Caenorhabditis elegans: one gene and its partner. The protein of the gene in region 2 interacts with the protein of the main gene of each other region in a pairwise test. Each region holds a gene or a part of one and is shown on either strand. Other genes may lie near its edges.

What was found.
Region 1: the proteins of dyf-2 (region 2) and che-11 interact in a protein complementation assay, tested with the Caenorhabditis elegans proteins (one study listed by BioGRID).

What each region holds. Positions count from the first base shown.
Region 1 is NC_003283.11:12,143,717-12,152,837, forward strand, and holds che-11 (WD_REPEATS_REGION domain-containing protein), read right to left. Parts: upstream 6,992-9,121; 5' UTR 6,974-6,991; coding exon 6,869-6,973; intron 6,718-6,868; coding exon 6,585-6,717; intron 6,500-6,584; coding exon 6,414-6,499; intron 6,367-6,413; coding exon 6,245-6,366; intron 6,196-6,244; coding exon 6,003-6,195; intron 5,400-6,002; coding exon 5,078-5,399; intron 5,033-5,077; coding exon 4,917-5,032; intron 4,427-4,916; coding exon 4,175-4,426; intron 4,129-4,174; coding exon 3,863-4,128; intron 3,814-3,862; coding exon 3,696-3,813; intron 3,651-3,695; coding exon 3,369-3,650; intron 3,261-3,368; coding exon 3,047-3,260; intron 3,001-3,046; coding exon 2,892-3,000; intron 2,845-2,891; coding exon 2,464-2,844; intron 2,417-2,463; coding exon 2,321-2,416; intron 2,273-2,320; coding exon 1,602-2,272; intron 1,555-1,601; coding exon 1,433-1,554; intron 1,391-1,432; coding exon 1,178-1,390; intron 1,134-1,177; coding exon 961-1,133; intron 919-960; and 3 more. Other genes in the region: Ectonucleotide pyrophosphatase/phosphodiesterase C27A7.3, read left to right, coding at 1-136, 181-328, 382-522.
Region 2 is NC_003281.10:13,682,109-13,688,348, forward strand, and holds the start of dyf-2 (WD repeat-containing protein dyf-2), read right to left. Parts: upstream 4,432-6,240; 5' UTR 4,338-4,431; coding exon 4,326-4,337; intron 4,269-4,325; coding exon 4,180-4,268; intron 3,788-4,179; coding exon 3,722-3,787; intron 3,650-3,721; coding exon 3,515-3,649; intron 3,349-3,514; coding exon 3,149-3,348; intron 2,893-3,148; coding exon 2,499-2,892; intron 2,456-2,498; coding exon 2,388-2,455; intron 2,335-2,387; coding exon 1,993-2,334; intron 1,731-1,992; coding exon 1,504-1,730; intron 1,162-1,503; coding exon 1,016-1,161; intron 938-1,015; coding exon 886-937; intron 627-885; coding exon 316-626; exon of another isoform or gene 254-315; coding exon of another isoform or gene 185-253; intron 1-184. Other genes in the region: sid-2 (Systemic RNA interference defective protein 2), read left to right, coding at 185-253; cul-2 (Cullin-2), read left to right, coding at 5,543-5,571, 5,623-5,766.

The sequences.
Region 1 (9,121 bases), on a different chromosome or scaffold from region 2:
TCAAGTTTGTAGATATTTGGGTGCCTCTTTCAATAAAAACAGATGAATACCTAAAACATTATGGAAAACTATTTGTACTATCTGGACTAGCGGTTGATAGAAATTTAGATGGAATAGCGGACGATGAAGAATCAAAGTACCTACAATTAAAACCTATTGAATTTTAATTTTTCATTTTAGAGAGCCAACTCATTTCTACCGTATTCTGATTACATGTACCGGAAATTGGCTGTCTACAAATCCACCATTATGCAAAAAGTATAGTGACACGAAAGCACTAGCTTTCGTTTTTCCTATTTTGAACAAAAAAACAACAATGGATTGTATGGTAGGTCACTAATAAATATTTGGTTTCATAATCAAGTTAAAATTCTGAAACAGGATTCTGATGCCATTCTTCTTGATTACACATCAACTATCGAAGATGTAGAAAACATTGCTAGTTTTCAATTTCAAATTGGAGCATTAAGTCACCAACAAAACGTGTATCTTCGCAGAAATATAACAACATCACTTTGGTAAACGAGTTCCATATCAGATTATTTTCATTGTTCAATAAAAATATTAATATTACAATATTACGAAACATTTTGTCTCCGTAAAGAATGTGAAAAATCGACTTCTTCACCATCAGATTCAACTTCTTCTTTCTTTTTCTTTGTCACTCTTTCCATTCTCATTTCATCACATACTTTATCCAATGTGGATGTCTCTACGAAAGTTTCCAAATCAACATTTGGTACTTTCTTTTGTAATCCTGTAATTGCTCTGTACGCAGGTTTCCAATTCTTCCGAGAGGCATGATCTTCAATTATAAGAGCAAAAAGTCGTGTACACGGGACAATATCATCATCAATTGATTCTTCTGCAAGAGTTGTTAATTGACGCATTCCATCCGCTGCATCGTTTTTCATTACTCTAAATTAATTTTTCAGCCCAATTCTTGAATTTTTTACTCACTCTAAAACACTCTGCAGTTTCCTCAGTTGAACTACATATTTTTTCAAATCCTCTTTCAATGCATCAAGTCCAGTCGTGGACATATTTTTTTGTTCTGCTTCCAGAACACAAACTGCCGCCATTTCCAAAGCTCCCATCGATTTATCAAGAGTTCTCAAATGTTCGGCTTCAATCTAAAAATAAACAAATAACATGTCAAACACTAAGAACCTCATACAATTGCAACTGATTTGTAGAAATTTCCAAGATGTTCAAAAGATTGTGATTTTGTATAAAATGTTTCGATATCTTTCATTGTCTGCTGATTATCTTGCCAATCAGTCGTTTGTAAGAAATTGGCTGCCAGAATGTAGATCTCCTTGTTTCGAGCAGTGTTTGCAAAAAATCGAATTTTTTGAATGTCTCCGGATTTGAGAAGAGCTCTCATTGCCTGAAATGGAAACTGAGCATTATATAAATTATACCAACATACAGATAGTTTGTCTCCTGCTTGTGTAAACTTCTTTGCTGCTGCTGAGTAGGCACCTTGTTGAAGACAAAGCTCCGCCACTGTTTCAAGAACTTGTTTTCTTTCTTGTACATTTGGCATGTCATCTTCAAAATGTGTAAATTTTACATGAATCTCAAAAGAAAACACGAACCTTTTGTTGGAGTCATAAGTTCTGCAAATTTATCACTGACTCTCACATTCCTATTTTTGCATAATTGTACGGCTCCAGAAAACTCTTTTGCTAGGCACAAAAAGTTAACTGCCTTCTCGTAGTTTTGATTATTTTCAAAGAATTCAGCAGCTCTTCTCAATATTTTTGGATCTGTTCCTGCATCCAAATCCTTGGTAATTAAATCCAGAGCGCTGAACTGTTCAGTACGAAATGCCAAATCAAGAGCTCTTCCAATCATTCCAGCTTTATGATACAGCATTACAGCTTTGTGTGCATATCCAGGAAGATCTTCGTAGTATCTTGCAGCGCTTACAAGTTCAGATCCACCCGCCATCAAGCATAAATTAGCAAGCCTATCTTTCATGTCATGCTCTTTTGCGAGACGTATTGCAGATGACAGCGCTCGTGCCTTTGTGAAGAATTTCACAGCTTTCACTACGTCACCATCATTTTCATACATTCTTCCAATTAGATAACACGCTGCTTTATCTTTTGATTCTTCGGCAAGCCGAGCAGCCTCATCGGTTTTGCCTTGAATACACTTTACACGAACCATGCAGTAATAATCTTTTGCAGAAGAGTAGAAGCTTATTGCACCCTCCAATTCTCCAACACTTTCCAAGTAGGCTCCCCACCAACTATACAATGATCTGAATTTTTGTGAATTAATATTTTTTAGAATTTTTGAATAAACTCGCTCTTCACGTTTTCTACGAACATATTGTTCTATTTGTTTTGGATAGTCTTTGAGCATTCGGAAAACTTCAAAAGCATGAACTCCTGCTTTTTCGTAACTGAAAATATATTTTTTGTTATCATTCAAAACTACAAATAAACCAACTTCTCAATAGCAGCTTCAATACTTGCTTGATCTCTTCTTGCTTCCAAATACTTTGCATAGTTGTAATGAGTATTTCTCAAATGAATACGATCCTTTGTTTCAGCAATTTCAAAAGCTGATGACCACATATTTTGAGACTGATAAAGCTTGTTCATCAAATCATATCTTTCATTTTGTGCATAGATAATCAATGCTTCCTCCAGCATACTCAATTCAATTGCCAAAGCTGCACACTTCATTGAATCATTCTCCCCATTTTGTTGAGATCTCCGCACCGCCCGGGCTCCTCTCACATTTTTCATATGTCCCAGACAAACCATTGCAACATCTAGTCGACGTGTTTTAATACTCATTGATGCCATATGATCCCATACACTATCGCTTAAAAATCATAATCACAAATAGAGTTTCTTGAGTTAACAACGGACCTTTTTATGAATTGAATTGCTTTAAATGCAGCGTCCATGCTACCAATCGTCAGGTAAAATGAGAAATCCATCATGGCTTTTCTAGTTGATTCGTCACAATTTTCGTTTCCTGAAATAAATGTATTTTTATAACTTGCAACTGGGTCCTTTCATACCTAAAAACTCTCGAAGACATTTAGCCACGAGAGTTTTTCCAATAGTTCTCTCATCTCGATTGTCTTCCTCATCCCATCCAGATTTCCGAACAAAATAAAAATTTGGAACAGAGACTGAAACAAGTTTTCCACAATGCAGATTTTTTTGCTGCATTCCTTGAAGTTGTATTCCATGTTCAGAAGTTACAAATGCTGTTAAAACTCTTTGATCGGTCTGAAAACAAGATGGAAGTTTTCTAAGTTTTTTTAAACAATTGACCTGGTTAAAAATGTGTTATATTGTTTTGAAAATTCTACATTTGTCCAGATTGAAGTAACTTACTGATTCAGGTTCAACATGTATGCATTCAACTACAAGATATCTTGCATCATTCTCATCCCATTCAAAAGCTCCAGGACGATGGTTCATCATTTGAAATCTTGATTGTTCTCTTGCCATTTTCCGTGCAGCTGCTGTAACAGGTCTTCCACTGCTTGTATGAGCAAGTTCTGCTTGGGTTTCATATTCTTGCGTATCTGTCATTCCACGATCAAACGAGAAATAAGAAACTGCATCGAGTTCGGCGTCGTAGACAAGTAGGCGTTCAGCAACTGTCGACACGTCCTGAAAAATTTTAAGCTCCTGCATTATTTGCAACAAAACAACTACCTCTAAATAAGATACAGCGACTTTATTTCCAGTATGATTGATTCGGATTGTATGAAATTTATAAAAATTCTTCACATTTTCGATAATGTATTTCGAATTGTGTTCTTGTTGGGCATCTCTGAAAGTTTAATATCAATAAATCAATAGCTTCTAGTAAATTTTTGTACTTTGCGCTTAAGTTATAAATTCGAATGAATCCATTTGTAGTAGCAACTGCCATCCAACATCGATTCACTTCAAGTATTTCCGGATCACCTTCAATTTCCGGTAAGGAAATTTCTTGTCGAAGAGTTCCTTGAAGAGTCCTCGCAAATATTTTGTCTTTTTCGATGCAATACAAGTTTTGATTCACAATTGCAACAGAAGTTGTGTTACAAGAAAATGATGTGCATTGGATAGTTGCAAGAGATGTTTGTACGTCATAAGTGACTACCTGCAAATTTTTATTAAACCGGTGATTCAGAATATCTGTTGAATACCGTATCTTCATTCCAAACAACAAGTTGCTTCTCTCCGAGACAAATTCCTTTTGCAGAAGGAATAGACAACTTCAAATCTTGAGAGACTCCACTTGTCGCATGTAAAAGAGTGAAACTATTTGAACTGGTCTGAATTGCCGCCATTTTTCCACGCATTTTTACTGTCAATGAGTTTTCTCCAATTAAGACAAGATCTTCTTCAGTTATTAAAGCAGCTGTGCTCAGTATCGGACTCCAACGAATTAATGAAACCTTAAATAAGCTCTCTTAAAATTAGACGTTTAGGTTATCATAATAATTGCATTTTAAGTATACCTTAATGTAAGTTAAAAAATTATAGTGTTGTAGTTCCGGTTAGAGGCATTGGCAGCACTCAGCAAAAAATCAAAAGTATGGAGTTAAAAAATTCACACTAAAACACATAGACTACCATATCAAACATCAAAAAACAAATTAATTTTGTGAGGTTGAGTGAATTGGCTATAACTATGTTGACAAATGAAGTTTGAATGACAACTAGCAAAATAAACGTTCTCAACCGAAATAGATGAAAAAATATACACTATTAAAATACTATGTTTTTGTGGAAAACTGAAAAAATTTCCTACTTTGGAAAAAGCTATTTTGTTTTTAGTTCAGTTCTATAAACTCAAAATTTATAAGAAACTCGAATAGGAATAACATTTGGAGGATATTCTCATCTAACATTCTAAAAGGGGATTAGCGTGTCATCTTCACTCACCTGGCTATCGACATGCGTGCTGGGACTCAAATTCCAAGCACTCTCGACATTAGTATCAGTTCGTTTTCGTTTCCATTCAGCAATATTATTGAGACTCGTTGCCGCAGTTATCACACCTGATCAATATTTTCTTTGATTACCTCTATTTCCGGTTTTCTTACCTCTTTTCCCATTAACTGTGACTACATTTATTGTCTCATCTGGTTGAAATCCCTTGTTTACATCTAATGCAATTGTTCCATTCTCCTCTTTTATCAAGTCCCATACTCGAATTTCTTTTTCACCATAACACATCACCAGTATTCCATCATCCAATTCCAAAGAATATTTTTCAGATTTTCCTCCGAGTTTCACTTTTACTCGTTCTGCGCATCGCATTTCAGATGTTCCCTTGGCCAAATGAAAAATGAAGCAATCTCTTGTAAATACAATAATTATCGATATTGTCTCACAGTATCCCATGAATAAGATTTCCGAGTCCAGCTGAAAATTTTTCCAATTTTTTAATTTTAGATTTTTAAACATAATTTGAGTTTTTATTTATGAGTAACCACTAGTCAGATATGTCAAAAATAATAATATTTGGATAAATTTTTAAAAAATTTTCTGTAGTTCTGTTTGTATTTTTGAATAGAATTTTTATATTTACGAGAAAATCAAAATCTTCTTAAACAAATTCTTGATGCCTTTTATCTCTAAAATTATTTTTGGAGCGGTCAAAGTAACTTCTCTACAGCATAGGTGAATCTGGACCACTGTAATGTAAAAGACTGTTGTGAAAAGAGGCGTGAGTCTTTAAAGAGAACAGTATTTCCTACTCGTCGCTTTTTTATTGGAGTTTTCTTACAATTAAATTTTTCCTTTGCCTTCTTGCATTTTGCTTAATAGTAATTAATTGGCATACAGTGCGTGCAACTTCCATAGAAGTAGAATTTATAAATTTTTTTACTAAACATGGAAAATTTTGAAAAATTATAAACTACTGTATTATTTCATCTGCTTGTAAATATTTATTAGGAACCAGAACTCTTCAATACAAAGTTGGCTACATTTGTGCATAGACTAGTAACCTTTATCCTAGCTCACCTTATGAATAGTCCGTTGTCGGTCATTATCCACTCCATAAATGGTACCTGATTTGCCTGCAAATAAGAACTCAGTACCCTTTGGTACAGTACTCTTTTCATCTCTTCTTTCTGCCAGTGACTCTTTTGAACCGAACGGTGACTCATCAACTCCACTGTCATCATCCGTTACAGAAATTTTACTTGGTTTGAATCTTAAATTTTACCATTTTTAATTTCACTCAGATTTATGAATTATATTACTTGTCATAGCTCAATCGTTTACACCATAACGTAATTTGATCGTTCAGCTCAATCTGCATTATATTTGAAGTGGAAATTTCTTCTCCAATTACCATGTAGGAGTATAAATGGACTGATGATGGCTGAAATTAAATAAAATAATTTGTAAGTTTTTTAAATTGATACTCACATTATGCAACGTCATCAAAACAGTTCCGTCGTGGCTCCAATCTACTCCTTGATTTGGAAATGGATATGTTTCGACCACAGTATGAGCTGAAATGAGTTTTCCATTACTAAAACATTATTTATATATATATATATAACTTTTTGTAGTATTAGTTTTTTGAAAATCACTCACAAACATTCCCTCCTTTTGGAATAAAACAAACTCCTCCATCTTTCCATCCTACTACCACGAATTGTTTCTTTGGATGCCATCTTACACAAGAAACTGATCCTGGTTTTGATGGCCCCTTTTCTTGCACAGATCCCTTAAAATTGTTTCAATTATTATCTAATAAACGGGAAGATACGCTCAAGTACATATTTGTTTTAAAGATCTATTGAAAATAACTCAAGGATTTAGCTTTGATCCATGAATAAAACAGATTATAATCTCGTTCGATTGTTCATTTTTCTTACTGAATGATCCGAAAATGCGACATTTGCTTCTCCAGTTGTCTCATCTTGAGTTACAACACAAATCCAACCACAGTGAGGTGCCCATTCAATTAAAAATGGTTTCATTTATGTTAATAATTGAAGAAATCGGGAAGTAAGGACAAAAAGTAAACAACAAAGGGGAGATGCGTGTTTTGGTTGCCATGGAGATTTTGCTCGCGGGGGAAGGCGGAATAGATATTCGAATGGAATTGGAAAGAAAGGGGCAGTATTGAAGAAAAATGTCGATTTAAAACCAGATAAGTGAATTATTAAAATTTCGGGGAAACATCTAGATAAATTCGGAAAAGGGGATGTTTCAAGAAAGAACTTGGGTTTGAACTGACGGGCAAAGGCAAAAAAAAAGACAAAATAAGTACATAATTTTCCTGGGTTCTTATCATGAATAAAGTTCCCCCACAAATGTTGAACATTAAAACATTTAACATAAATCAAAGTTGTATTGGAAATCATTTACCCTACTATGTACATAAGTACAGGGTGGCCCATAATTATGGGGACCGATACTTGCGTCTATAAAATTTGATGCAATCCTTCAAAAAAATTTTAACAGCATAGGTTTTATTCCCCATATTCTTAGGAACAAAATATGTTATTAAACTTTGAAAATATCATTATGTGACACGTTACACACCTTCCGACGTTCCGAAGTTAAATTGTCGCTGGCGCGCTAGTGTGGGTGTTTTTCTTTCTAATGATGTCTTCAGCGACTCCTGCCAGTTTAAAAAGTTTACTATTACTTTTTAAAATGACATTGACTGTAGAATACGTATTTCAAAACAATTCGTCCATTTTAATAATTTTCCGTTAGTGTGGCCATTGATTGAAGGGAGATAGGTTGAAAAGCTCAAAACGCGCACATTCGACTCGGTTTGAAAGTCAGGAGACGGCGGAATTTTTTGAAAATAATATATTTCAGATCTACAGTCCAACTTCTACTTTTGTGTAAAAAATTATGTCCCTATCATTCCAATGACCTGAGATATTACTGAATATGCAAGAATGTGTGAAAAAATCGCTCAATTTTTTGCGAAAACGGGATTTAGCTAGTTCCAAACAATTGTCCATTAGAAGCTGGATTCTAATGAAACTTGTTTTTCTTTTTTTGTATACTGTGAGAATATATTTTGTGGTTCTAAAATGCACAAAACACTACAGAAAAAATCAGTTTCAACATTTAGAGAACCTAAACTATGCAAAAAAAAGTTGCGCGCCAGAAGGGTGAAAACATGTTACACTCCCGACGCTGCCAAACTTCTGTTGTTCGACCAATCGAAAAGTTTTTTATGTTAGCTGATAGAAAAATATTTTGTCTATCAATAAAGTAACAAACCCTCATTTTTTAGTTTGTGAGACGTGAGATTTGCGTACAAAACTACGGTCCCCATAATTATGGGCCATCCTGTATATTATGAAGATAAATGGCACTTTGACCGCAAACCTATAGATCAAGTTAACTTTTATTTCCATTTTTTGATCAGAAATAAAAACACTTTGGAAGGTTCTTATGCTGTAATTTAAGCAATTTTTCAATGGTCATATCTGTTCACAACATTATTTGATTACTTCCAATATAAATGCCCAATTTTATATTGAACCAATGGTTAGAAACATCTCTTCTGCCTACGTCGTGATCAATTACATACTTATAAATCCTCTGTACTGTTCAGAATATAGTTTGACCTACAACCCGAGCGTGATTCATAATTGTTACTACTTTCATCATTGGTCATTACATGATCTTTCGATACTTTTGTGTTTTCTGAATATTTATATTGTCGCGCGACATTTGAATAATAGTTCAGTTGTTATATCCAGTAGGTGAACTTGATAACATGCACGTTTTCCACCAAAAATACTATGCAAAAAAGTCAGCTGTTAGGTTCTTTCATTCAGAAAAAGAACAATATGATTGTTTGTTCCAACCTTCTATGACAAATTATTTGTGCTTTAAAAAAGGAAATTCCTGTAATTTTTGTGTTGGGCGTCATTTGCGAACGATATAAGAATCAGGTGTTTCGGACGATTTCCAAAATTTAAGTTATGTAACTTTTTATGGATTGCACTCCATATTAACATTTATTATAACCCTGTAAAAAAGTAACTTTAACCAATTTTGTTCGTGACGATTCTGTAAAGTACTTGAAAACCTGTAAGTTATATAAGACAAGCATCATATCCATAAAACGCAATCTGATCTTTATTATTTCATAA
Region 2 (6,240 bases):
TAAAAATTTTTTCACACTTTTCAAAATTGCACCGAGGTTTTTCAAAAAACAAACTTTTTTTTGGTTTCCTGCCAAAAGTTTACAAAAAAATTTTAACCAAAAAATGAAATCCTGAGGTATTTGAAAAGGGGGAAACTTGGTTTCAATAGTTTTTTGTTCTACAAATCTGTTTTGGGTATTCCAGGCCGCACAACCTTCAACAACCTCAAATGGGCAATTCAATGACCCCTTCGCTACATTGGAAAGCTGGTAATACACCCATAACTTCTTTATTTTTATTCCAATAATATGATTTTGAAAAACTATTAATCTTACCTGTGCATCAATAAAGATCTTGTGAGTATATCATCGATCACAGTCTCCGATTTGTCTGAAATAACCGATTCCGTCTTATGAGAGTCCAAAAGTACCGAAGAGAGTTTTCCATTTGACATGAGACATGTTACTATTCCCTTATTCAGTGACAAGGGAACATAGGCGTGAGGTAGGCGTGTCGCGCTAACGTAGATCACAGATTCTCCTTGAATATGCTGTTTGCTCAGAAGAAACACGTAAATATTCTGAGAGTCAAATACGGCAAAGGTGTTTTTGTCGATTGTAAATGTCTCCCATATTGCTCCTTTGTACTGGAAAATTCAAAATTTCTTTGTGGAGAAAAATGTGCGCACATCGTAACAATGGGCCGACGATCTTCTAGAATTCAAAGATTTACTTCCGGGGTTTCATATTTCAATTTTATATCAGGCAAATATTGACTTTTTTCTATTCGGAGCTATAATTATAAAGTTAGAATTGAAACAAATTGAATATTTGAAAAATTGCGCAAGTGTTAAAGAAAATGGGGGAGTATATTTTTGGTCATGTGAGGTTTTTCATATGACTTACATGAGCACTGGATCCCACTGAAGGGAGCCTGAAGACTTCATCGTCAACTGCGCTGAAAAGTGTCAAAATTTATTCGCGTTGCTTCAGATTTTATGAAATCTGCAGCTTCTTTTCTTTTAAAGGTTCTTACGAATAAATCATAGCTTCTAGTCTGTCGTCGAAGCAGCAGCACACGACATTTGTCGGATGCGGGAATATGGAGCGAACTGGAACCACGTGACGATATTCACTGACTATAGCCCATTCTGATAGTGAAAAGTACACAATGTAGTTGTTCTGTAATATTTCTTACTGAATAGCTGAAAAATTCGTTTTTTTTTCAATTTGTTTAATTTGTCAATTGCGTATTTTCTTGCTCTCATTTTTAATATCCTTTTTGCTTTCAATCTTCCAAATCGAATATTATTTAAATAACAATTAAAAACTTGCGCGTCAGTTTAAATGCCTTACAGTAATTTGTGTGCATACACCGCCGCGCAACATGCACAGCGGCGCCTAATTTTATAAATTTTAGTTTTGAATTTTAGTTTTTTTCTTTTTGTTGCCATTTTCAAGCTTTTTCTCAAAATTTCTAGAAAATGTTAGCTTCGTAAATCAAAATATCAGTTTAACACTCACGCTCGTCGTAAAAATCAGAAAATTTTCGGTCAAAGCGTAAGAGTAGAGCGTCGCGTTGCGGTTCGCTTCGGGAAACTCAATTGATACGTTATCCTCGGAATTTCGGATTCGATGCAGGCGGAGCCTGCTCCCAAAGTTGACAGCAGCGTACATGTAGTTTAGCTGGATGTTTGTGACCGTGGAGAGGTACTCGACGCGATTGATGGGCTCCGCGGCAACTATGGTCGCTGAAAAGAGGGAGTTCTGCTTTAAAGCGAGATTTTAGGACGTAAAGTGTATAATTAAGTTAAAAAACGAGGGAAAATAAAAAATTTCGCAAAAATCAGATGTTTCTAAAATTTTGTTTTCGAGGTGCTGAAAAGTTGTCGATTTTCCGACTATTAGCTTGCATGATGTCTTTTGATGGAATATTCCAAAGCGGAACTCTTGAAACCTGTCATGAAATCCCTAATTTTTCGAATTTCCGCCAAAAATCTAAATTTTTCTTACGTTTCTCTGCAGCCGATTGAGTGGACTGCAGCTGTTGGGCAGCTTGCATCTGCGCAGGTGTATGATAATCATAGAAAAACACGGTATTATTATTGGCGACCGCCAAATTCAACGGCCCCAATCCCATAACAGTTGGTTCAATATTGAGCTCCAAAGTCGATGAGCCCTTTTTCTCGACTTCCGCCACCACAGTCACTTGTGTCAAGTTCGTCAGGTAGCAGATAGAGTTGTTGTAGGAAGCGGCAAGCGTTGGCATTTTTGTCACGAATATCGAGAGAACTCCGCTTTGGGACGACACTGCGACTAGTTGACCGTCTTCGGTCACCTCGATCTCGCTCAGATCTGCAAATTTGTTCGAAAAAATAGCTCAGCTTGCAGTAAAACCAGCTTCTCACTTTTCTCAGTTTCAATTTCTGTCAGCATAGTAACAGTCGTAAGCTCGTCGAGATCCCGAACTTTGACCCTGAAAATCATGAAATATTATCTGAAATACCGATTCTTCGTACATGTTGTCTCCGATGGTGAGAAGCTTGTTAAACGAGGTGCTAACAGCAATAGAAGCCAGATATCCACGATATTCGAGGAAACTGACTAGCTCCGAGCCGATTTCGTTGTTATGTGCCGAAATCGATATTATATAGCCACGGTCAAAGCCGATGAGTATATAACCGTCGTTAAACCACCTATAGGAGTGAATATTTCCATATTTCTCCTGAAACTGAAGATTCACGGGTTCGTCGAGAGCATTGTAATGCGCGAGCATCAGAATCTTCTTCCCTATAACCACGCTGACCATCGTGACACCGCTTCCACCTTTTCCATTCACGGAACCATAATCCATATTTGTGGGCTCTCCGTTTGTCGTCGTTGTGCTCACTGTGGTGCCCTCCAGTGTGGTTACTACAAATTTAGGTATTACTTGTATCAATTTTTAATGCCACGTTTTTTCGAGAGTTGGTTTTCATCTTAATATTGTTCTCTTGAAATAAATATAAAATTGAGGTCAAATTTATTTGGAAAGTTAAAACCTCTTGCAATAATACCCAGTAAATCGGAGGAACTATATTTTCATTCAATTCATTTCTCTGGGTTGACTGTTTTCAATTTTTTTCCAAAACATGATTTTCGAATATAATTTGAACGGAAATATTCTAACCTGAAAGTGTATTATCGTCACTACAAGAAATTACATAATCCTCCGGGGTTACTGTAATCTGTGTGACACTTCGTTGATGTTTTCCCATCACGGCTATCCGCCGAGACGTTCGATGATTGTAGACGACGATATTTCCTGCGTTGTTGCCGATTACCAGTGTAGGAGTACTTGGGGACCATGCAAGACATGTTGGGAGCTCTCTGGAATGAAGCAAGTTTTGGTGTATCACTTTTTAAATCTGAAGTACGTAGAAATACAACGAAAAATCTGTAATCTTTTGAAAACTCCAAAAAATCTCACAGTTTCAAAATTTTGAAATAATATTTTGTAACCGTATTTAGAAAATGCCCCCGTTTTTCAACTCACTTTGAAGAGGTCGCTCCACTCTCAACAGTATCTGTATTCCGCGAGTTCACATCCCATAGATAAATAGTCCCGGTATTTGCTACGGCAATCGCTAGTACATCACCTTCCTTATCCCAAGCTATGTCGATAAGTTTTCTGGAAGTTGAAAAAAGTGTAAATCACGAAAATCTTCTTTTTTCTTTACATTTCAAAAAACTCTGAACTCACCCAGTTGGATTCAACGCGTCAATAACATTTCCTTTCTTATCGTAATAGATGACCGTGTTATTGGCGCTGAAAAGTATAATTTATTGCTTGGAAAAGCTCAGCTTTAAAATGCATTTAAAAAGCTTCAAATTCAGAAATTCCAGAACCGATAATAATAAATTGAGAAATAATGATGAAAATTCAAATTTTCAAAAATCTGAACAATCAGCGATTGGCTCCACCCATTTTCAAACCAATCAAGGTCTTTGCAAACGCATTGGTCATGAAGCTCCCATTTTGGAAAAAAAATCAAACAGGACAATTAGCCAAAATTGAAAATCCTACTTCTAAAAGTTGGCTTTAAATTCTTTCTCGATTTTTTTCGTCTTTTTTGGAGTTTTTGAATTTTGAATATTTTAAAGAAAAATCTTTAAAAAAGATACTGTTAAAAATAAGAATTAAACAAAAAATAAACAAACCATGCAACAGCTACAGTATGCCCATTTGGTCTCCATCGATGAATAATCGGTCCACTTCCGTGCTCTTCTTCGCCTCTTCGATATTGAAGCTGAGCAGAAACACATTTAAATACTTCCTGATTTTTTGTGAGAGTACACGGAATTACCTTTAATGACATTTATATGAATGAAGATCTCCGTTGTTTTCGACGTTTGCCACTGCTCCCCTATGATTTGTCACTTATGTCACGAGCCTACAAATAATGGTTACAAAAAATGAAGTACAAATCATTGAGCTACCCGAGCCTTTGGGGAGTTGTTGCCTTGGTAACCGGGCTACACAGTGTGTGTTGAGCACGCAAATTGAGGAAAGAACAGGGGAAGTGGAAGAGGGGATTTGATCATTCCCGGTTTGGGAATAATGACAATTAGTAGAATTTTCTGGATTCTCGAGAAAAAAAAACAAACCGCAATTTCATCTTTTTATGTGAATATCGAACAAAAATATTTGATAAAATTATTCATTTACACATCTGGGGCAAATACATTTGTAATGGGAGAGCATTACGGGTACACTAAATTTTGAGAAGTATCTCATAGCGAAAACTACAGTAGTTTTTTTAATTAGTACTGTAGCACTGCTCCGATTTTATTTTGGTTTTTGGCCATTTATTCCAAGTTTAGCCAAAAAATGCACAAAAATGCCAAAAGGGTATTCTTTTTTTTAATTTTTCAATATTAAAATTTTTAGAGAAAACTTTATAATCAAATTCCAAAACGACTCCACCTTTAATAACTTCAAATATTAATTTAATTTTAAATTTTAGACTTCAGAAAATTATTCTTAATTTTTGTTCTAAACAGATTTCCTTTTTAAAATCCTCCTTTTCTCACATGTCACATTTTTCATTGTCATTGCCAACTTCTAACATATGACGTTCAATATATTTTTAACGTTTGTTATCTCTTTTCAATATATCTTCTCTAAAAATCAAATTTCAGCTTCTCCACCATATCCCCGAAAATCTTCAGTGTAACCTCCACAGGAAACCGGTCCGAGGTTCACCGTCCACAGGCAAAACTGGCGTCGAATACACAGCCGACATCGAATCGTACGACACTTGGCCGCCGTAAGGCAATTTCTGACGACAATTTTCCCGTCGTTGAGCCGATATTGAAGAAAATGTGAGTGCGTCTGCTGCGCATCGATCGATATTATTTGGTTTATGACCCCTGGTTTCTCATTTTTCGGTTTGAATATTAAATAATTGAACGAATTAAAAAAAGAAAGAATAATTAAAATCACGTGATTCTTTTTATCAATTAAATTTTCGTGTTTAGTTTTTTAATCCGCATTTCAAAAATTTTCGCTTTTTCCGTAAAAATGGCAAGTTCCACAAAAGTTTCCTTACGGTACCCGTTATTTTTTTTTGAAAATTTCGCACAAATTGTCATCATTTTCAGTCGTCCACCTCGTCCACAGGTTATGTACTCACTGAAGCCAAAAGTTGTGGAATTTGACAAAGTATGGGTGCAGTTGAGACCATCTATCATTGATATCATCAATTTGCGGCCGATCACCAATGTTCAGTGGCATCACAAGTTTAGGTAAGTTTTGAAGGAAAAGTTTGATTTTTTCCAGTGATAGAAATTTCAGAAAGTATCATTTCTGTCATTCAACAGATTTTTCGAATTTTTAATTTGAAAAAAAAGATTTTTTGGGATTTTTTGTTCAAAAATGTCTTGATTTTTGGCCAATATCTAAAGTTTTTGTGCAAAAACTATTTATATATAAGGCAAAAATTACCTTTTTGTTATTAATCCGATTTTGTAAAAATGTTATGTTTTAAAAAATCAATTTTTGAAGTTATTTTCAGCAATCGCGTTGTTTGTAAGCAACAATCCTAAATTCGATTTTTGACAGAGAAAAAAAGTTTTTCGAGGATTTTGTCCACAAAATCCGAAAATTTTTTGACAAAACTATTTTTTTTTATTTCACGTGTATAATTCACTGAAAAACTCAATCATTATTCCAAGAATTGTAAAAAATTGCTCCAAAACACTAACATTCACTTATTTTCC